Tribolium castaneum: one gene and its partner. The protein of the gene in region 1 purifies or fractionates together with the protein of each later gene. This does not show direct contact. Links are inferred from orthologs where the notes say so. Each region holds a gene or a part of one and is shown on either strand. Other genes may lie near its edges.

Region 1 (10,954 bases):
CTTAAATTTCTAATTAATTTTCTTGCTGATTCAATTCCAACTTCACTAAACTTGTAATTTTCCTAAATTAAGCATTAAATCCTCCATCGAACGACGGATAATTGGCTACGAACACTTCAATATTTCATAATTGTTTTTTATTTTCGCCCGCCAACACTAAACCATTCAACTTCTCAAATCGTGAATTGTGTAAAGCTAAACCGTGCAAGTCTATTAATTAAAACTGAATAAAACGATAAAATAATCCATTTTTAGCATCTTTAGTCTCGTTGGCTCTAATGAGAGCACGCTACGTTCAGTTCAATTTTTGTTTTTTACCTGAAATCAATCGAAAAAATAGCATATCATCAATTAGACGCAAACTCCAACTTTTGGAGGAAAGAAAAGTAACAGCAAATATTAATTGTCGCGCTTCTGTGACATGATGGGGAAATTCAAACGCGCCGTTTCCCTTCCTTGAATGGGAATGATCCCGAAATAAAAATAATTCTAAAAGAAGTGACAATATTCTTTTATTAAATTTTTGATGACTCTAATGGCAGCCACAATATTCCATCGTCACACCGTTGGGACACTACATAGTCCTAAAGCCTCGCCTCAAGTGACGTGTAAAGAAATAAATTTTTAACGAGACAATGTGCGTGCTCATGTGACAGTATTTCTTTGGTGTGGAACTCCTATTCTTGTGGAAAATTTGACGCAAATTCTATTTACCCCCGGATTTTTTTCGCAAAAGTAATTTATTTTTTTATTTTTAAAAAAGGGGAAGATTCACGGGGCCGATTTTTACCGTTAAAGTAGTGTTGTTGTGCTTAACGGGCTTATAATTCAGGGTTGGAGTTAATGGATTACATTAATGGCTGCAAGAGCCAAGCAAACTTTTTGTCGTTATTAGTAACAACCCAAAAAGACGTCTGTTCATAGAGCTGAAAATTTAACCTCATTGTTTATACCCCGTTTTTGCACGATGTTGATGTTATTGATTGTACTTCGCTTCATTTAATATGTATAGCTGAAGCTTCAAGGGATCCGTAAATAATAATACACTTGCTTGCAATTTTTCTCCTAGCACGAAACCCTTAATCCTGCAACTAACCAATGCAACCGATGCGTATTTTTTCTCACGTGAAAAGTTTTGCTGGCAAAAACAGTTGGCTCCGAACTAGAATTTCTTGATTCGATAAAAATACTGGACGTTTACGGAATCTCGAAGAAAAATGAAACTTGCAAAATAAAAACTCACCAAAGCTTATTTTATTTGAATGTATGATGGAAATAATGACAGGCCGAATATTAAACACACAATTTTTCTGTCGACGTTTCGCATCAAATGGCGCATTTTTATTATTTAAAATCGCTTTCTGTATATCCTTCCACTTTTAATCCTAAATTACCGTCCTTGTTACTTTTTGAATTATTCCTTCGCATATCCGTGCTCATACACTCGTACCTTTTTAAATCCTTTATTGATTTGTTAATTCGTTAATTGCAAACATGTCTGCGTGAATAATGTTAATGGCCGTTGCGTTCTCGTATTATTATTTCACATCAATGATGATTAGCTAACCGATTATTCTGTCAATTTAACAATTTTATTTGTTATTCCGCCTGGATCTGGCATTTATTGACATGATTCTATTAGTTTGCTTTGAAAGAGAAATTACATTTACACAACCCATATACAGCGTGTAGCAAAACGCAACACAGCAGCCATAAAAATAAATGCCTCGGCCGTGTAAATCAATCCAAATTTACTAATAATTTGAAACATTTTTACTGCGACTGCAGCATTTAACTCTCCTTTTATGTGTTTATTTTTGACAGTCTTTGAGCTTGTTTTACAAACATTTCAAACAAAACACATCCTCCTAAGGATACTCTTTTTAAACTGTGACATTGAAGCAATTCATGCAGATGTTCTCGTCATCAAAGAAAGAAAAACAAATGTTTCATTTAATTATCTCTAGCTGCACACCTATTGTTGGGGTTTGTTCACATTTAATTAGGACGTAGTGGCTTAATTAAAATTCAAAAAGCACCACAGAACGCGGGATAATTTTTAGCAAAAACTGCCACTTATGGTCAACTCGATTGCAAAAAGCTAAACTGCACTTAAAATACACGAATATTCAAATTATTTTAATTACTTTAGCCGCAGAGCCTGCACTTCGAAAGTTGTTTAAAAAAACATCGTCATCAAATCAAGTCAAATCTCTGTTCTATTTTCTAATGTCACTAAAATATTGCTCTATCATACATATGGCATAAGCCATGTAAATTGAGATTTAGATTATCTACAGAATTGTAGGATGGCTAATTTACTTTGTCGCTGTAATTACAACTCCAGTTCTATCACGAATGATTGATTTTCAGAATATTGGCAATGGTAAACCGATTACTGATGCTTCAATCAGAGTTTAATGAATTTGCAATAACTGACTGTTCAAGAAGTATTATTCACCTGTATACTTAGTGCACTCACAGTTATCTCAAACAGTTTGGCCATAATCATTTCAAAGCCAAGTGGTAGAGTACCTGAAGCACCACAATTATTAAAAGCCTTTCTCTCCGATGTCCATTCTCCAGCTGTCTTCTTTCTCTTTCAATTACTTCATTATTTTTTGAAGGAAATTAAAGTTATTGACTGCTATATTGAAGTAAAAAAATATATAACTTATTTTTACTCTTTACAAAAGTAACTATAACGGTACTCAATCTGAAAGGTCGATAACAATTTGAACTGTTTTCCAGAGATTTTTTTCAGCTTCTTAATTTTTCAGCCGCTTAGTTCTTCAGAATTTTAGTCTCAATTATATTTTTTAGTTTTTTGTGTTTATAGTTTCTCAGCGTTAAAGTACCTTTGTCAGTGTTTGTACTTTTAATTTTTGAAAATGTACATACTCTGGTTCTAAATTAAATTATTTTTTGATTTTGAAAATTATAAAAATTATATAAATTAAATATAAAATAAATTATAAAAATTATAAAAAATTGAATTATTTTAAAAACTAAGCAGAATTGACCATTTTATTGGCACCCAAGGCGAAAGCGCATTCTGTGAGAAAGACCGGCCCTTAACCGGTTCTCATTTCCTGATTTGTCCCAGAAATGCGTAATTGACCAATAAAAATATTAAAATCACCTCCTACTTGTTTATCAGGTGCACAAAAAATTGCAAGACGATTGAAGCGTTTGTCATTGGATATGGGAGGGGTAATGCACTCCCAACTGTAAAGCAGACCAATCAAGCGGCGTTCCCAACTGAACAAAAAATTGTTTCAAATTGAATAAAATTGAAAAAAATTGTTTGATTATTTTCTAAATGTCGGCCAAACCATCTAGAATTTCGCTCTTTTCTAAGAAAATTTCAAGTTTTTTATTACACTTGGGTTCAAAAATTGTGGATCGATTTGTTTTTGATAAAGATTGATTTGTTTAAATCAATTGTTTTAATTGTTTCCCAAGATTCTCTCACAAAACTCAACATTTGACAAATTAAAATTTTTCAAAATTGCTTTTTAATCCCTCGTATCCGGCGGGTAGGTAAAAATTTTGAACAGTACCAAAGCAACAAATTGAAGTGTATTTATATCTAATTGCCCTTTACACACCATCCGGGCATTGCTCTTTTGACTTTGAGATGGTCTATCATTCAAATCAAATGCAAAATTCATCATTATAATTTATAATTTTTTCTTGATTCCTGACGAGAAGAGGCCCATTGAAAGGGGGCAATACGATTGTCATGAAATTAATGAGGCGTTGTTGCTACTCTGGAAACTTTACACATCGAAAATGTTTTTGAAAAAAGTCTATTTGGTAGATTTTTTTTCAAGAAACTTGGACAAAATGAGGTGTTGGGCTGTTATCGAAAGTGTTATGACGTAAAATGCTATTTATATTTTGACCTTTTTTATTTAAAAAACGCTCCCATTTTGGGGATTCCTGTTTATCAGATCGGGCGCGTTCGGGTGTGATCGGTCCGAGTTGCGCAGTGCTGATTCCATCCCCTTCTAAATATTAATATCGGCGAAGTGAGCCATGTTCATGACGTAAACGGTTAGAAAACAAAAGCAAAATGAGGCGGGTGTGCAATGTGAGCCTGCAAGCGTAGCATGTCCTCCCCAAAGTCGACTTATTTTTGAATTTCTGTTGCTATGTGCGCCTCTAGAAATGCGAAAATCCCCTCGTTTGCATCGAAATAATGAAAAAATTGTGATACTAGTTTAGTAAGTTAAATGTGAGGAATTAGTGCGTACTGCGTAGTTGGCCGTGGAAACCGATGCTTCTCGACGTAGACGTCATATTGGGTGAATTGGCAAGTTTTCTTGTGAAAAATCGTCGATTTTCCTCGCTGCAGCGAGAAAAACCGGTGGAAAAGAACTAGTCAGGCAGGTTCACACCCATCTTATCGCAGGAATTCGCAGCGAAAATGTCGACGTTTATTAGCAAGCCACTGGGTGGGTGGATTCACTCCGATAAACTAATTTCGAAGCAAGGGGCGACTTATGCAGTTAGGGTAAGAGTCAAAAATCCAATTTGCGAGCCATGTAGAACCGCAATATCGATTTTGCCGTGCCTCCATGTAACAGTCACACCCTATATACGAATTTTCTTCTTTCCAGTATGTTGGATGTCTGGAGGTGAAAGTCTCCATGAAAATCCTCAATTTCAAAACCCGGTCGACTGTTGCCAAGTAAGTACTCTCGGCCCCCAAACCCCCAAAATCACCAGTTCCGCTTTAGAGAATGTATAAATAAGGTCTGTGAGGCCGCCGGGTTAAAAACGGCCGATAAGAAACGAAAAGTCGACAAGAAAGTCTTAAAAGCCATTGCTGAAGTTCCTAATATGACCCACGCAGGGGCGAACGTTAGTCTAAATGTATCAAGTTCGAACCTATCTTTAACTTCGCTAGATGACAATAAAGTCATTGCGTGTCATGACATGCCCCACATCTCGTTTGCTTCAGGGGGCGATATTGTAAGTTGGAAAAGCCTTCATCTCTTATATTATGTAACCAGATAGCTTGTAGGACACTATGGACTTTGTTGGTTACATTGCGAAAGACATCAACGACTTTAGAGCCTGCTATGTTCTAGAATGTGGGGGTGGGTTAGCCAAAGATGTTATAGCAACCATAGGGCAAGCTTTCGAACTGAGGTTCAAACAATACATGAAACCAGCACAAATCGGGTAATTTATTCTTTTGTAATAACATTATTGTTGTGGTCGCATTAATAACACTTTGGAACAAAATCAATACACACAAAATTACGCCTGTTTCAAGGACGTAATGTTGTACAACATGGCGACTTTCATTCCATGTTAAAACTCATTTTTACGTTTACTGCGCTAATTAAATTAATTGTTATTTATGGTGGCTCCATATTGTATAACATGAGTATACTAGTATTTTTTGAGTTAAAATATGTTTAATAACTGGCATAATGAAGGCAGTTTTTACGTTATATGTACATAAAAACTAGTAGTCACTTTTAGAAGTCTAAAGGTTTAAAATACGACACGCGAAATATAAAAAATGATACTACACGTATTGAAACACCAAATAACACTCTAATTAATCTGACCTGTGACCAGAGACAAAAAATACAAGACTTGTTAATTTTGGTATCGTTTATCTATTTTAAGAGCGTCGTGTTACTTTTTTAACAGATGTGTTGTCAAAACAGACCTATTTCTTGCTATTTATTGGCAGTAATGTTGATCATAATGTTAAACCTATTAAGGCCGCTAAAAAGTTAACTCGTGATTGTCCCGTGAACCTGAGCATCGGATTGGTCCATTTTCTTCACGTGATCACCTAATCTGACTTCATGACACTCCTATTGCTTTGTTAGAATCTTTGGTCATCTTTGATATGTCAGCAAAATCTATAGGTAGTTGATATTATTTTACCAACTTTCTTTTTACAGTAAATATTAAATTTTATTTTTAAATGGTTCCGGTTCCTGAAATTTTAGCACTTCAAACTAGGGTTGGCATGCTTGATAAAATATCGCCATAAATATCACAAATATCAATGATATTTATTAGTTTATATGCAGCGTGTATACAAAATAGCGCATAAGCGCATAGGTTGTAAAAACGTTTCAAAATCTTATAAAAATGTTATAAAAAATCCATCGTCATTTTTAACGAATTTATTCACACAAAATTGTTTGGTAAAACTTGCAGCATTGTCAGTACTCGAGTGTTTTCGACGTACCTCTATTAATTGTTGTGGAGTAGTTGCAATATTATAACTATGGATTTTTTCCTATGTTGCCGGATCAATTTTTTAGATGTCTGAATATAAAAAACACATGTTAAAGATTATTATAAATAATTGTGATGTGTTGAAGGGTAGAGGAACTTGGTATCTGTCTTGATACTATCACCGATTAAAATTATTTAAGAAAATTAAGAAAAAAATCTCCACTTTACTTCCTTATACTACTAAGAATAAGTGAAAGGGGATTTTTTTATTTATTTTTTCTAGAGTTTGTTGGAACGTGTGCTATAGCGTACTGAAGAGTTTGTGCGCCAATTTGCATACATCCTGTATATCGCACTTGTATACAAAGAACTACCCAGTATTCAAGTTTATTTTATTATTATTATTATTTAGTTGAAAAAATAATTTCTCATGATATTTTTCCGATAATGAAATGTTTTTTCTTGTTAATTTGGTTTGTATGGGAAAGTTACTAACTGCATTTTTTTAGATTTTTTTTTATTGTGACAGTATGATTAACAAATAACCTTTAATATGACATAATTTCTTAAATTATAAAAAAATCTTATTATTGTTAATCTGTTATCGTGAAATGGGTGGTAAATTCTTATCTTAAATGATTTCGACCGCAATAAACAAATAACACAATTTATAGTATTGTATTTCTTAAAACAAATTGAAGGGACAGGGGAAAACGACCTGTCCACTTGTTTAAGAAATTGATGTGGAGTTGCAGTATTGTAGTTTTTGAGAAAACTATCAAATAATTGAGGCGGGAAATAGCAAATACGACTTTAGTTCAGAGCAAAATGTGTTACAAGATACACTCTACTGAGGAAAAAAGGAAAAAAAGTTACGGGTCCACGTGAGAAAACTTTGGATTTGATTGTTCGTGATTTTAGTTGAGACGGACTGAAGTCGTTTTTCCCCTGTGCCCTTCAATAGTTTATTGTCGACTTATTCGAAAAGTGAAATAAACGATTCAATTGTATTATGAAACATGAAATGTTTGTTAAACAAAACCATATTCGGTTGCAAGCAGAAGCACTGAATAAGGACATGCTCTTATTCTGTTACCAGCTCCAGCTCAAGTCATTCTTGATCGTTGTTATATAAATTTAATGTGATGAAACTGACTTGTTTTTTTTGTAGTTTTGGGTTGTAACCCGACTTGTAAAGTTAAAAATAAGTTTTAAGATTTAGAAATTAAATTCAAAAACAGCAGTCAAAAATGAAGTTTTGAGAAAACCGATAGAAGCTGTGGGTTTTAGTAACCGTTTAATAACTTTGTTGTTGTAATAGGTAAGTCTTTACTTATTGAATATGCACCTTGTAAATTTATTTATGTTAAGTAAAAAGTTCGACGGGCTGAATATCTATATTGTGCGGCTTCTGACCAAGCAATTAACATCATATTGCACAAAAGGCCACAAGATGCTCCTAATATCTGGATTTTCCCATTTTCAACATTGCTATTTTTGAATTACCTTATGTGTGTTTGGAAAAAAATGGAGCCACCTTCCTTTTCGTCTTTCTTTTTTTTTTTTTAATAAACGCGAAGAATTGACAATTCTTTAGATAATTATGTATGAGTTGGTATTTTTGTGACCACTTTTTGCTTGTTAAATGTGGCGGTATTTTTGACGGTGGTTTCCAGGCTTGCGATGGGCCAGCCGTCGACGTCCACAGGTGGCGACGCCGATAAAGACTACTACAACGATCTTCCAGGCAAAGTACCTCCCGATGTGGGTCCTCCACCTGTCCCTCCGCTTCCTTCCGTCGTGCCACCATTTACAACCCTACCATCAGTCCAAAGTCCTAACTTAATAGACCTTAATTCCGACATTTCCGTTTTCGATACGCCACATCACGATTACGTTAATGATAGTATTACGATTAAAGAAAGGGACGTTTTTGATATGCGTAAGTCGCTTTGAATTTTTCCTTGTTCAATTTTTGACTTTTGGTACTTTAGAACCGTTTACGACGCATCACCAACCACCGATTAGAAGTATTGAAGAACACTTAGCGGAATTACAGCATGAAATTTGGTTTCATGGACAGATCAGTCGCGCAGATGCTGAGCGACTTCTCCAGAAGGATGGGGATTTTCTCGTGCGGGAGTCGCCGAATTCGGAAGGACAATTCGTGCTTTCGGGGATTCAAGATGACACGAAGAAACATCTCCTGTTGATAGATCCTGAAGGAGTGGTCAGTACGACTTTGATTTCTCTGGGCTTTAGCTAATTGTTTTGTTTTATAGATTCGGACGAGGGATCGGATGTTCAACAGTGTTAGCCATCTCATCAACTTCCACTGCGAGAACGTCCTCCCCATTATATCGGCTGAAAGCGTTCTAGTACTTCGCAACCCAGTACCAAGAATATCATAGTTTTTAGTTGGTGAATATTAATCTGGCTTGCACTAGCTTCTATGTTCTAGTACTGTTCATTGCAAGTTTAGCAAATTATAGTACAAAGATTTTCATGCCATATAGTAAAAATTCGAAACGGTTTTTGCTAAACTTGTTTAGTGAGATCTTTTCTTTTATTCCGGGCGAACGGTTATGTTTTCCATATGGCACAGCATAATCATATCAAAAGTATTCAAGGAACTTTAAACAAGTATTAATTTTTTACGCATTTATAACGTGTTATGGTAACAGTCGAAGCCTCATGCTTAATCAAACATAACTTGATGTGATTTAGGTAGTTTTAATTGTGCATATATGATTGCGACAATTTGTGATAGATCCCAGGTTTGGACAACATGAAGGGTGGATTAAATTTTACAAACACGATTTACGTTTTTATTTATTATTTATTATGATTTGGATAACACATTACATAAAATTATTTTCGGTTTTCCGGCTGAGTTTCCATTTCCTTTCGTGTCTTCTTACGCAGGACCTAAACAAAAACTACACTTTAGTAACAACATAAATAAAAAATAATTGAAGTAGAGAGAACATGGCGGCGTCTAAAAGTAAGGTTACGGGTATGCGCAACAAAAGTGACAATTATCTTATTTCACTAATTCAAACTTGGTTCATCTGAAAACTAACCATGTAGTTATAAAATAGCTGAATGCACCGTTATCCTGACCTGACTGTTTACGCTATTTCGTCCGTTTTGTTTTATTAATTGGTGGTATACTTTTGCAACATAATGCCCTTCAAGTTTTCTAACTTGGGATATTTTAACAGAAATTGAAGAATGTTTTAAAATGTTCGAAAACAACTATTTTTTTACTAACTGGACCAGTAAAGTTGTTAATCTATGACTAAAAAGACACTTCCAACGCTCTCTAGATACAGAAACGTACTTGAATTTGCAAATGTCTTGAACGTTTTAGAAGATTTTCAACGTTTGATATATCTTTTGGACGTTTTTATACTTATGCTGTGTTGCATTATTTTTGATGCAAAGTTTTGATTTTTACTGCTTTTGAATGCAAGACTGCGGCATAGTCGTGTTTCCACTTTTGGAAAATGCGTTCATGTGGACATGACTGTGCACCAAAACGTTAGAATAGAGACGCAATTTGCGGAATAGTCTACAAGTGACCTTAAATCGCACAGAAACCGATTGAATTTGGCGCGCTCGAGACGAACCAAAAGTCTGTGCAACATTCCTGAATTGATTAGGTTTTTGTGCAATTAGTACAGGTGCTACGTGTCGATTTTTAGGTTAGAATTGGATATTTTCTTTAAAATTTCAACATTAGTTCCGTCTGGAACGTTCGAATGTAGGGTTTTTCTTACGTTAGAGTTGGTAGAATTTTGTTGGTACGAATTTTGGATTTTGTGCACCTAGTCCCGGAAACGGATACCGCGTTTTCACAAGATTTGATTGGACAACGGCCGTAGGAAAATAATTCTCATGCAATAGACTACGTTACGCGAAACTTACCTTATGGTAATAGCGAATAAAGTTCATGCTCGTGACGTCAGGGAAGTGTCACGTTTCCCCGCCCGCTCCGCGGCCCGCCGAGGTCCCCTCGGTTCGCACAGTTGGCTCCCCTGCCCCCGTCTTGCGCTTTTAGCTACGCTGTCGATTCAGATAGAAAGTCAAAATGGCTGCGAGCACCATTCGCATACAATTATGGTGGCATCAATAATAACTAACTTAACCCTATCTAGTGGCGAATTGTGATAGTATAACCTAAAAAGTGTGTTTTATAAACAAGCTAAAGGGACTAGCTAGTTTTGTGATCGTAATTAAACGTGATTTTCATTTAAAACTCGTCGGCGTAGTTGTACAAAATGGCGTCAGTCAGTGGTATTGCATGAACTTTACCCTAAAATCGCCAAATTTTCGCTGAAAGGGTTGATTCCACGGGGATCGGACGTTATGCAAACATCAAAGGACACTTGCCGTTCGATTTGCAAAAATTTTCGTTGTGCTTGTTCGTAGTAATCACGAGAAATTCAGGATAAACGTGGTACAAGATGCCAGAGGTAAGAAATTCCCTTTAATCACTAATTTGGGGGTTGCTGTTTGATCAAAATCAGTTTTTCGTCAAGTATATCGTGTTTTTTAAATACTGCGTCAATGTGATCCCAAGGGCGTGGTCTGATTACTTAGAAGATTTTACTCACTTTTCCCTTGCATATTTTTGTTTACAAGTGGTTTTTGCTCATTTTGGGGCCCTAGCCGGCCGTGTTCCACACATTTCTTCATGTATTCGCATTCTCCATACTCCAAAGGAGCTATCAAG
Region 2 (10,896 bases), on another chromosome or scaffold:
TCTGAAGGGTTGCACTGACATTTCTGATTTGGCGCGGAGATGTCGCCCCGTTCGCCAGTTTGATGTTTTGTGTTTACAGTGGCGCCCCTGTCTCCCACAAAAATGGCTCTTTTCCGCAAAACGTCGCTGGAAGAACTGCTCAAATCGAAAATGCCTAATGGCGGACAATGGCCAATGAATGTCATCCATATCACCGAAAATCCGATATCGGCTGTCGTCTGTTAAATTAATAATAATAATAACCGCCGCCACTGCTCACACAATCACACTATCAACACATATACACACACTTATTTGAGCTGTATTGGAATTTATGGAGGATTTGTCGGGCGGGAAGCTGGCGGACGCTTCGAGGAATCCCCCTGTATATCAAGCGGGACGCATTAAGCATGTGATGTTTTCGAAAATAGGCGCTAAACTAGACTAGAATCGATTATTTTTTAAGAGATATATAAAGTTAGGTTTGAAAATGGCGGCGACAGTCGGTATAACAGGAAACTATAAGAAAAATGAGCTTAAATTTTCGGTCATAGGGGGCGTGAGTTGTGATAAATTTCAATACAGACGTTTCGTTGGCCACTGCCCTTCTGAAGCACATATCTAGGCCCAGATTGAGTTATTTAGGCCCGCAACGAAATTCTATCACGCCATATCGACTAGGTGCGCTTAACTAGGACCTAACAACAGTGTTTTGAGTTTCTGTTGTGATTAGTTGACGATTACGTATTTAAGAAAAATAGCTGTAGGTGGAGCTTTACCTGTTGATAGAAAGCCTACTATTTAATGAATTTTAAGGAGAACCCCTCACGAACAAGCAGTTCTTATCATTTCGTAAGGTTATGTAAGATAAGATCGGTGTCGTTGGATGCTGTTCGGTTTTTATATTGTTGCGATGTAGTTTTATGTTTTGAAATGTGATGAATAATCGTATTGTGCCTCACTTTGTTAATGGTTTAAGTTAAGCACTATTTAATTTTAATAAAATGTTTAAAACGTTGCTTGTGGCTTTATTTATTCAACCAAAAAAAAATGCTCGACTTTTAATGAACTGTGGATACAATATTTTTTTAATATGTATCAAGCTTTGAAAAGTAGTTAAAATAATATATTAAACTTTAAGTGGATATGGAGGTCTTTAAGACACGCACGATTTTTCGAGCACGACGGCGTAACCGGAGTGCTCCAAATAGAGCAAGTTATCGACGAATAATTTACGTTTTTTTTTATTAGTACCCTTTGAAATCATAAATACTAATATTAATATTACAAAAATTCTACCTTTCGTTGTCATGGAATTGATGGTCATTATAATAAAAACTCATTAAAAAACGCCATTTATACTTCACGTTTCTTGGGTTATTGATGTTGCCACGGATACTTTAAAAAACGCGCGTGTTTGAAAGTTGGATTTATACACGCTGCTGCGAGCATTACATAAGAAAAATAGATTACCAATAAAAAAAACAAATTTAATCAGTAGTCAACAAACTACACTACACTGACTATTCCTAGTACATTTCACGAAGTACATTAACTGAAAGCTGAAAAGAAAAATTTGAAACAGGAAATAAATGTCAGCAGAAACATTTAAAAACATCGCGCTGCAAAAGACATCTGGGGAGCCCAAGAAAGTCGACTTAAAAAATTCACCCAAAAAACCACAAAAAATTTCTATAAATTACTGCTGTTAGGTTTAAAGGTTTACGTTAAGCTGTTATTAATTTTAATAAATTGTCTAAAACCGGAGGAAGAGGTCAGCGGGTTCAGGAAACAGACGGTTTGTCCTTTGTATGAAAATTTCTGTTTCCCAAATGACATTAATACAAATGGAGAAGCTTTATTCGGATCATTTGCATTTAAACAACGTAATGTTTTGCATTTGTATCCGACTGGAAGTTCATATCGCAGCCATTTGCTGACAAAAGTATAAATTTATTGGTGTCACCGATGCACAAGGTTCATAATTCAAAGAAAAAGGTTTAAATATGCACACTCATCAACGAATTTTTATGAAAGAACATATTCAGCTGACTTTGTCAAAGAGCCTAAAAAGTTAGCATTTTTTGATTTATTTTCGAAAAAGTTAACAGAAGCTGCCTTGGGCAAATTTAAAAACGTCTGTTAAGTGTATAAATGTGTAAGTAAGATTGAATTTTGTGTCACAAAAGTTTAAAATATTATGCAACCAACGTTACACGCTTGTATACTTTGTGGACTATTTCAATCACTTTCGAGACGACTTTAACAATACCATGAATTTTGAAAAGTGCTAGTACTGCTAATGCTACTTTTTGGCCTATTGTTAATCCAGAACCAGCAAAGTGATACTTTATTAAAAGTTTTAAGGTGTTAGGTGAAGGTTATGTTTGTTCCCAATTCCAGTGGCTTTGCGTTCAATTAACATTTACTAAAAATCGATTGTTGCACTGGTTTCTCTTATTTGGCGTTTTATAAAAAGGAAAAACTGACCTGGTACCGAAGAAAGCAGGATCTGGCACAGGAGGTGGTGAAATCGGTAAATCTTTTTGCACATTCGGGCACTGATTGTCACAATAATTAGTGTTCGGGCTTTTAATTTTAATATCACAATCACACGGATGGGAACAAACACACGGAAAAAACACAAATTAAAGGGCACAACACAACCAGTCTAGCGTCAGTGTCACTAGTTTGGCGGTTTTTTCTTCCAGCGTTGCCAACCTTACCTTTCCATAAGAGGGCGCGAATTTCGAATTCGATAACTTTTCAATATGTAATAATTATTACCTAATTACTTTTGTTACTTTTTACTCATAATCACAAGTGAAAGTATTTCCTAACGATAGCAAGCATAAGGAACTTAATGTAGAAAAAAACTAAAAAATTGCAAGTTTGTTAAAAAACTTGAAAAATTTAAATGAAACACCCTATTTTTTGTTTTTGCTTCTTAAAGATCATAAAAAGATATAAAGATTTTTGATCAAGTTTGGTACATTTTTGAGTTTTGTGAGAGAATCTCGCGATGAAATTGAGTTTTTGCCAAAATATTTAAGTTTTGACACAATTTTCGAATTGGAATGTATCAAAGACAAATCGATCGACAGTTTATCCACGATTTTTGAAGCCCAGTCTAATAGAAAACTAGAAATTTTCTTAGAAAACAGAAAAATTTCAGATGATATGGCCGAGATTTCCAAAATAATCAAACAACAGTTTTTTGTTCAGTTCCAATTTATTTCGAGTTGTAAGAAAAGCTCTCGAAAAATGCGTGTTAAGAAAGTTTGTTTAAAAAAGAGGCTGAAAAAAGAAAAAAATATGTCAAAATCACATAAATTATTTAACTGTTGGAAAGTTTTTTTTTCTAAACTACGGCCAAATGGTGAGACAAAACTGAAATATTTTGGACCAAGTCTGTGTAATATGTTCCAACTATGGCCACTTTTCTGTTGTTCAGTAAGAACCCACCAAAATAAAAAAGTCATTTTCCTATGGAACTTTGGTTCGTTCAAAATAGTCATAACTTGAAGCCGTCAATGTAGCAATAAATTATGCTTCACCTGACGCACAACCAACGCGTCTCCATTCAAAAAACTCCAACAACCGCTAATTGCGCTAATAAATTTCCAGTTCCACATTGACCATCTCGTCCCAGCTCATTCATAAGTTCATTGATCTACCATCAAATTAATCCAAAAAAAACGCAATCCCTCCAACACCACCGCAATTAAAAATTCTCAAACCAGAATGATAGACGCGCTACCGCATTACGTAAACCCATCGACCCATCGGACTCGCTACCATCTCCCCTGACCCCCAGCTCGACCCACCCATTGGTCGACTCTACCATGGCTTTTTCATCTTTTCCCAACAATAATACAGATCAACATTCTTCTACGCAAGGAGCACAATAGCCCCATCTCTCTCTTACCTGTTGCTCACAAGGTCACTAATCTACCTGTGACACTTCGGCCGTCTTCGCCTCCGGTCGCTCCGGGCTCGAGAAGCGCGACGTTCAATTGTTGTCATTCGAAATCGAGTCGTCGAGAGGTGGTGTTGTTGTTGCTTCGAGTTGTGCAACAGGTTGTCGTACTTATTTTGTTTTTTCCCATGACACTCGGATGATGACTTAGTGCAGTGTTGTGATGCTGTGAGCAGTGTTTTTTTTTTTCTGGAATTTTGGTTTTGTTTTTCTCAAAATGGATATTTTTCTCCTGGGGATTATCCTGGCCATGGCTGGCTTTGGAGGGTGTAATGTGGACATGGGGGTTAGAGGTGAGTGCGTCTCTCTGATGAGCTGTCTTTAATTTTTTTATTTATTTATTGCTTTGGAATAATGTTTGTTTATTGCGCGCTTCTTTGGAAATCGCTTACAGAGGTCTCAAGACCACTTGGGACCGTTTAAAAGGAGAGCCGCATTCCAACTGATGCTTTCAAGTGTCACTTTTTTGAAACGTCGATCCATCACTCTTTGTTCAAAAATTTCGGATTCAGGTCAAGTGGAGGGTGAAATTTTGAGGGCTTTAATTACTCCAATTAAAACTAATTTTTCGGGACGTTGGCTTGAAGTTAAGTTGGCCACATTATTTATCTTTTTTCCGTTTTTGCGTTAATGTTGCCAACTTGATTTCAAAATTTATGGCTTTAATCAGAAAAAAATCGGCTCTAATGAGGCTTGAATTACCTATTAGTTTTTTCTGCATTAGGTACATCCAGATATGTTTTCAGTTGTAATTACTAGTGAATTAAAAAATAATGACTAATTCGAAATTCGCACCCTCACTCAGGAACTTTGTGTGACAAGGTTGGCAGCTCTGGATAAAAAGACCGCCATAATAGTGACACTGAGACGCTAGACTGTGTGGTCGTGATGTGCTTTTTATTTTTGTGATGTTTCCTTGTGTTTGTGATTGTGTTGTTAAAATTAACAGCCTTAACACTAATTATTCGTATGGTGACAATCAAAAACTTTTGGTAACGACGATTTACCGATTTCATTTCACCACTCCTGTGCCAGATCCTGTTTTCTTTCCTTTTCTCCAGTACCAGGTCAGTTTTTCCTTTAATTTTTATAGTTGGACAAATGTATGGAACCAAGCATTCTGTGCCTAACTATGTACCTTACGAAAAAACCTCTTAGTACCTCATGAAGGACTTGAAAATGGGGTTATGTTTAAAGTACAATTTTTTTTGGGTTATTATAAAAAAAAATCAAAATTTTATTTTTACACCAATGTTTTTTTTTAAATAATTATGAAAGTTCCATACTTTTGCTCAACTCTGTATGCAAAACTCAGTCTTTTGGGACATTTTAAAGACGATCTTGCCATGGAAAATTCGGTATCTATTATTTTACGGACCATAATAAATGTGAAAAAAATAGAATTGTTATTTATTGTCCTACAACCTTATAAATTGCCACATTGTGAAGCGCTTCCAAAATTTTTTACATCAGATTTTTTTCTAAATTTCTTTAAAACTCTACATTCGATCGTAACAAAAAAAAGTTAAGGCATCGGTTATGAATTACGCTCATTAAGGACCTTAATGAAAATAAGAAAAAGAATAATTTTTTTATGGAAATAATCCAAAAAGTTTGGAAAAAAAACTAATTTTTTGTGGGAAAAAATATCAAAAATCAGAAACTTGTTCAAAGTTACTTGAATACCAGCAGAAACGTGTGAAAATGGAAAATAAACTTATTTTTTGTGGGAAAAACTATCAAAAATCAAAAACTTGTTCAAAGTTACTTGAATACGAGCAGAATTGTGTGAAAATGGAAAATAAGTTTGGAAAAAAAACTTATTTTTTGTGGGATAAAATATCAAAAATCAGAAACTTGTTCAAAGTTACTTGAATACCAGCAGAAACGTGTGAAAATGGAAAATAAGTTTAGAAAAAAAATTTATTTTTTATGGGAAAAAATATCTAAAATCAAAAACTTGTTCAAAGTTACTTGAATACGAGTAGAAACGTGTGAAAATTGTTTAGAAATCATTGAGCAGTTAGTACTTGAAGGTTTTTGTTTTTTCTGTTTTTTTTAGTTTTTTCTGTTTTAATTGGTCTAAAATTTTTCGTATTAGGTATTCACATGAAGAAAAAACTTTTATTTCTTATTTTTTATTTTTATTTATTTATTTATTTATTTTATTATTTTTTATTATTTATTTTTATTTATTCTTTTTATTTATTTCACCTATATACAGTGCGTTTTACTTTTTGTTTATCATAACTTTTTTTTTATTTTCTGGAGGTATTTTCTGTAGTACCAGTATTAACTATGATAGTCTTATTATTCTAAGAATTTTTTAATTTTTTTTTCTGTTTTAATTGTTTTTAAATTTTTTGAATTATGTATTCACATGAAGAAAACATTTTTATTTCATCTATATATAATGCGTTTTACTTGTTATTGAGCATAACTTTTTTTTAATTATTTGGAGGTAGCTATGTAGTACCGGGATAATTATGATAGTCTAGTTATTATTCTAAGAAATTAAAATTTTAGTAATGTTTTTCTTGGACAATATTCCGGTAACTAAAAAACCTTTACTACCACTTTTTTTGTTATTATTTGGCAAAAACAATTATTCTCTAAGTTTCCTAATGTATAAGTTAAGACCCACCCTCTATAGACAAATGGGTGACCAATTTATCTCTCTAAATTTTGAAAGACATTTTCTTCACTTTTTTTCAATTATACCAGAAAATAATATAATAAAGTTTTGTTAGGAGTAAAAGCTTTATTTTTGTCTGTCTATTGACCAGCATTTTTTGATGATTTTCTCGACTAGACTAAGTACTAGAAGTATTTTGATAAGACAAATCTCCTAAATCACAGTATGGGCAAGTGACTGTCTATAAAAAATTGCTCGACTTCCAACTTAAACTATAAAAGAAAATATAACATAAAGTAAACAAAAAAACTAATTAAATGATTGATTATAAGGACTTTACAATTTTTCCTTTTATACTTAACAAAATATTTATAGTCCGGCGCCAAGAAATTCGGCAGAGCATTTCCAGGAACATTATATTCCATTTATGGAAACTACTTTTAATAAAATGGTAATTGCCATAGTCGGTAAAGAGGACATTTGTTTGTTTTCATGAATATTTTTAAAGTTCATTGAATTTGATTTTTTTTTCAGTTTTTTCCACTAAAATCGTTAACACTGTTTTTTTATTCTGTTTTAACTATTGGGGTGATTATCATTAAAAACTCTTGAAAATTGTTTATTTATTGAGAATTGTAAAATTTAAAATTGTTCCCCATTTTCTTTGATTTGCAATAAAGTTTACCTATTTCTGCTATTTTTCTGCGAAACGTGCGATAATGCATGTGTTGTGAAAACTGTTGACGACATGTTTATAACAAGTATTATGAATATTTCCTTTTAACTGTTTTTCTTTTTGTAAGGATATACGCAATTAGAGCGCCTGAACTAAGGTGGGAAAACAATGACTGATGCGAATTTGGAACGTGTAAGAAATTAGATCCGTTAGAATAATCGCAAAGTCACTCGACTACTGCGCTACGATGACTTTTGCTTTTTCGATTTTGATTGGCTCAAAAGTGAACAATACAATACTGTGCGGCAAAATTTAAATTTCCCTCGATATTTTATTAATTGTGGAGGTCACCCAAGGCATCAAAACCGATGACACTGCACACAATTTGCCAAGACTGCAAATCAAAAGCTGACGTGCAAAAAGCAATCGCAATTTCCGCTGAATTACAACAAAATAAATTATAGATTACTTGAAGTAAAAAAATCATATACATCTGTCATTCTGTATCGACAAATTTCCTTCAGTCAGTGAACACCTGTCCGAAAAATGCGCTTAATTAGGGACGGTTTCCGGCTGCGAATGAGATTTCCGGAGTTTCCAGTTTGAAAATATTCGACTGAGTTTTGTAAATGTATCAGAGTTGGTGGGGCCAAGGGCCAGAGAGGTCGGGGGTCAATTGAGTGACTGCAGCGTGCTTTCTTGACAGTGCTGCAGCCGGCGAGGAATTCGACAGGGTCTAGACAAGGCTTTCTTTCAATAAGAAGCCGTATTATTAAAGAAAAAATACTCCAAATTGGATCAATTAAGCACAACTAATAAGGCAAGAATATTAATCATGCCGTAATTGGATTCGAGCATCGACACGAAGATTTTGTATTCAAAATGTTGCTTTCACATTTTTTAACAATTTTTGGACGTAAATAAATAAAAGTTTGTGCATAAAAACTGTTGAGCTTTATAATAAAATTATTGAAAGTTCGTCTTTTTTTTGAAAGAGCTATGTTTTTGACTGCGATTTTGAATTTTTCGAGTTACTTCAAGAAGATTTTCATGAGCTTTCCCTATACTTAAATTTAGCCATTTTCGAAATTTTCCGGATTTTTTGAAAATTTTTGGATTGCACCTTTCACTTCAAAAATCGGTAATTTTGCCATTTTTAGAATTTTGAAAATAGTTTTTGAACAATCATAAAAGAAAGCCCTTGTGTTTCCTTCAGTGTGCTTAAAATTGAAAAAAAAATGTTTCGAAATTCCAAAAACTTTTTTTTGGACGTCTTCTAAAAGCTATAAGTAATTTTTTTCAAAAAATTGAATCACTAAGTGGAAGTTTAATTTTACAAAGATCTGTATTGACATTCCCTATACCTACCTGTAATGATTTTCAAGATTCGTTGGTTTTCTTTGACATTTCCGAAAATTTTTTACTAGCCAGAGTTTGGCAAAGAAACATTTATCACTGAATAAACGATAAGTTCTGTTTAAAATTTTGCTTTGCTTTCTTTAAAATAAAATAAATTCACTGAATTTAGATTTCAAAAACTTTGATTTGCTATATTTTTTACTTACGTTTCCATGGCAACCTATGCGAAAAGAGCTAATGAATTAATGAATGTCAATAAAATGTTCGTGTGTCTTGAAAAGTAAACGGAAGTATAGGTAATATTAATACAAATTGACGCAAAATTAAATTCTCTTATCATTTGATCAAATAAAAATTGTGGCATTTCATTTGAAAATTTTTACTTATGGGTGTTTAAAGTTCTGCAAACTTAATCTTAAAAATTCGGGATTTGCTAAATTTTTTATAAATTTGAAATCACCAAAGAAAAGGACTAAGCCTTCTCTAAAAATATGCCTAAAAAATTGTATATATTTCGAAAACGACAATTTGGATATAGGGAAAGTTGATAAAAACTCCCTAAAAATAACTCGAGTATTCCAAAAATGCAGTAACGAATGTACAGTGACCATCAACAAGAATGACGCAAAACTACGCCACCATGGAAACCCTTATCAAAATGTATAAAAAATTTAGACGCCGATTACGGCGGTTCAGTTTCGTTGTAATCGGCACGCTACATTTTATCAAATTATGGTAAAACTATTCGACAAAATGGAGATATTTTCAACTACGTGCACGTAAAATGATCCGTGGAATCGATTGACCTCGAGAAAACTGCAAAATTCTGAATAGTTTTCAAGTTATTAACAAAACTAGGTTTTGCGTATTATTGCATTTATTGGCAATTTTTTGGATGACTATGAATCGTAGGACAATGATCTTTTTTTTCAAGTGTAGATAATTAAGAACACTTTTTAACGGTACTAATTGAATGGGATTATGACTGATAATTTCGGAGTTATTGGCCGATAACTGATTTGTAGAAAATGCATGCAAAGATGCAAATCCAAAATTTTTCAAAAATTCTACATATTCTGAAAACGACTAAATTTTTCCTTAAATTCCCTTAAAATAACTCGAGTAATCCAAAAATGCAGTAATGTATGTACAGTCCCGATCAACAAGAATAACACTTTTAATATCCGATCCGGTTGGTCGGAGTGTCATTTTTTTTGTTCGTGACTGTATATGTGAATTAAAAACTATACAAGATTAAAGATCCTGTATGTGTAGAGAAATTAAATGTAGCTTAAAACCAGGAGAAATAGTTACATAGTCACATGCCACTTTGATCAAAACGCTACACGAAATAGTTTCCCAATTCTCATATTAAGTATCAAGTTTTTGTGTGGTAATAAAATACTTGTAAGTAAACTTTGCCCGCCTGACAAATAAAACTAAATTAGTAGACATTTTCGCATTTTTATTAGGCTTCAAAGTTCAGGAATTATTGTAAGTTAACAAGTGAATGAGAAAATTCGTCCATTCGAAGACCTTTGGCGTCCAAGGTCGCTAATCTAAGGCCACGTCGGAGTTTTCGATGCGGAAGAATCGCCGCTGCAATGGCATTGATGTGCGAACACCGTGAAGTACATACTTGGGTTAACCGCAACCGTCAAGAATGTGTATGTGCATATCGGGAGTCCGGTCCTGGCACTAATACACCCCCGTTTACAGCCCCATAAATCATCAAAAATTACGATCTAAGGTCACACTGTTCCCACCCTCTCACACATGCTTTTTTACGAGCTTCAGGTAGATTTTTTCAGATTCTCGAATTTCGTATTAGCTTAGGGATGCTGGGAAAATGGACAGGTGGAGGAGTTTGTACCTGAAACAGACAAAAATTACAGTAAATAAATGAAACTTAATATTTTTGAGAGCTGGCCGGATGTTGTGAAGATTTAAATAAAATCCTCGTTGGGATATCAGTTAATTAAAACCGGACAAGCAACTGAAATTTCGTAATGAAATTTTGGAATTAACTCGAATTAATTTCGGTTTGTTGTTTTGACAAGTTTATTACATCGGATCACCCAGACCTGTGTTTATTTACATTTTATCAGATAAGAAAATATTTCATTCTCCGATTGTTTATCGCGCACTGTCAATCACCTCTCAATTTTTTGTCATCAAATAGGAGCGTGTTACAGCTTTGAAAAAAGCTTCTTTCAAAATTATTTTTTTTTGTAATTTTAAATAAGATAAAATGTTTGTCTGAGCTAA

Evidence for each region. Proteins that work in one complex are often made in the same cells at the same time.
Region 2: the proteins of Shc (region 1) and Egfr purify together in Drosophila melanogaster (affinity purification with western blotting; 3 studies listed by BioGRID). This does not show direct contact. The link is inferred for Tribolium castaneum from reciprocal best matches to the Drosophila melanogaster genes Shc and Egfr.

The regions. Positions count from the first base shown.
Region 1 is NC_087403.1:6,524,874-6,535,827, forward strand, and holds the start of Shc (SHC-transforming protein 1), read left to right. Parts: upstream 1-4,015; 5' UTR 4,016-4,432; coding exon 4,433-4,519; intron 4,520-4,625; coding exon 4,626-4,696; intron 4,697-4,745; coding exon 4,746-4,980; intron 4,981-5,032; coding exon 5,033-5,193; intron 5,194-7,892; coding exon 7,893-8,158; intron 8,159-8,210; coding exon 8,211-8,446; intron 8,447-8,498; coding exon 8,499-8,627; 3' UTR 8,628-10,685; coding exon of another isoform or gene 10,686-10,694; 3' UTR 10,695-10,954. Other genes in the region: Chd1 (chromodomain-helicase-DNA-binding protein 1), read left to right, coding at 10,686-10,694.
Region 2 is NC_087394.1:3,578,172-3,589,067, forward strand, and holds the start of Egfr (epidermal growth factor receptor), read left to right. Parts: upstream 1-3,989; 5' UTR 3,990-4,175; coding exon of another isoform or gene 4,176-4,251; intron 4,252-10,896. Other genes in the region: MESK2 (protein NDRG3), read left to right, coding at 80-225. UniProt on the Drosophila melanogaster protein: Receptor tyrosine kinase, binding ligands of the EGF family and activating several signaling cascades to convert extracellular cues into appropriate cellular responses. Known ligands include spitz, gurken, vein and giant-lens.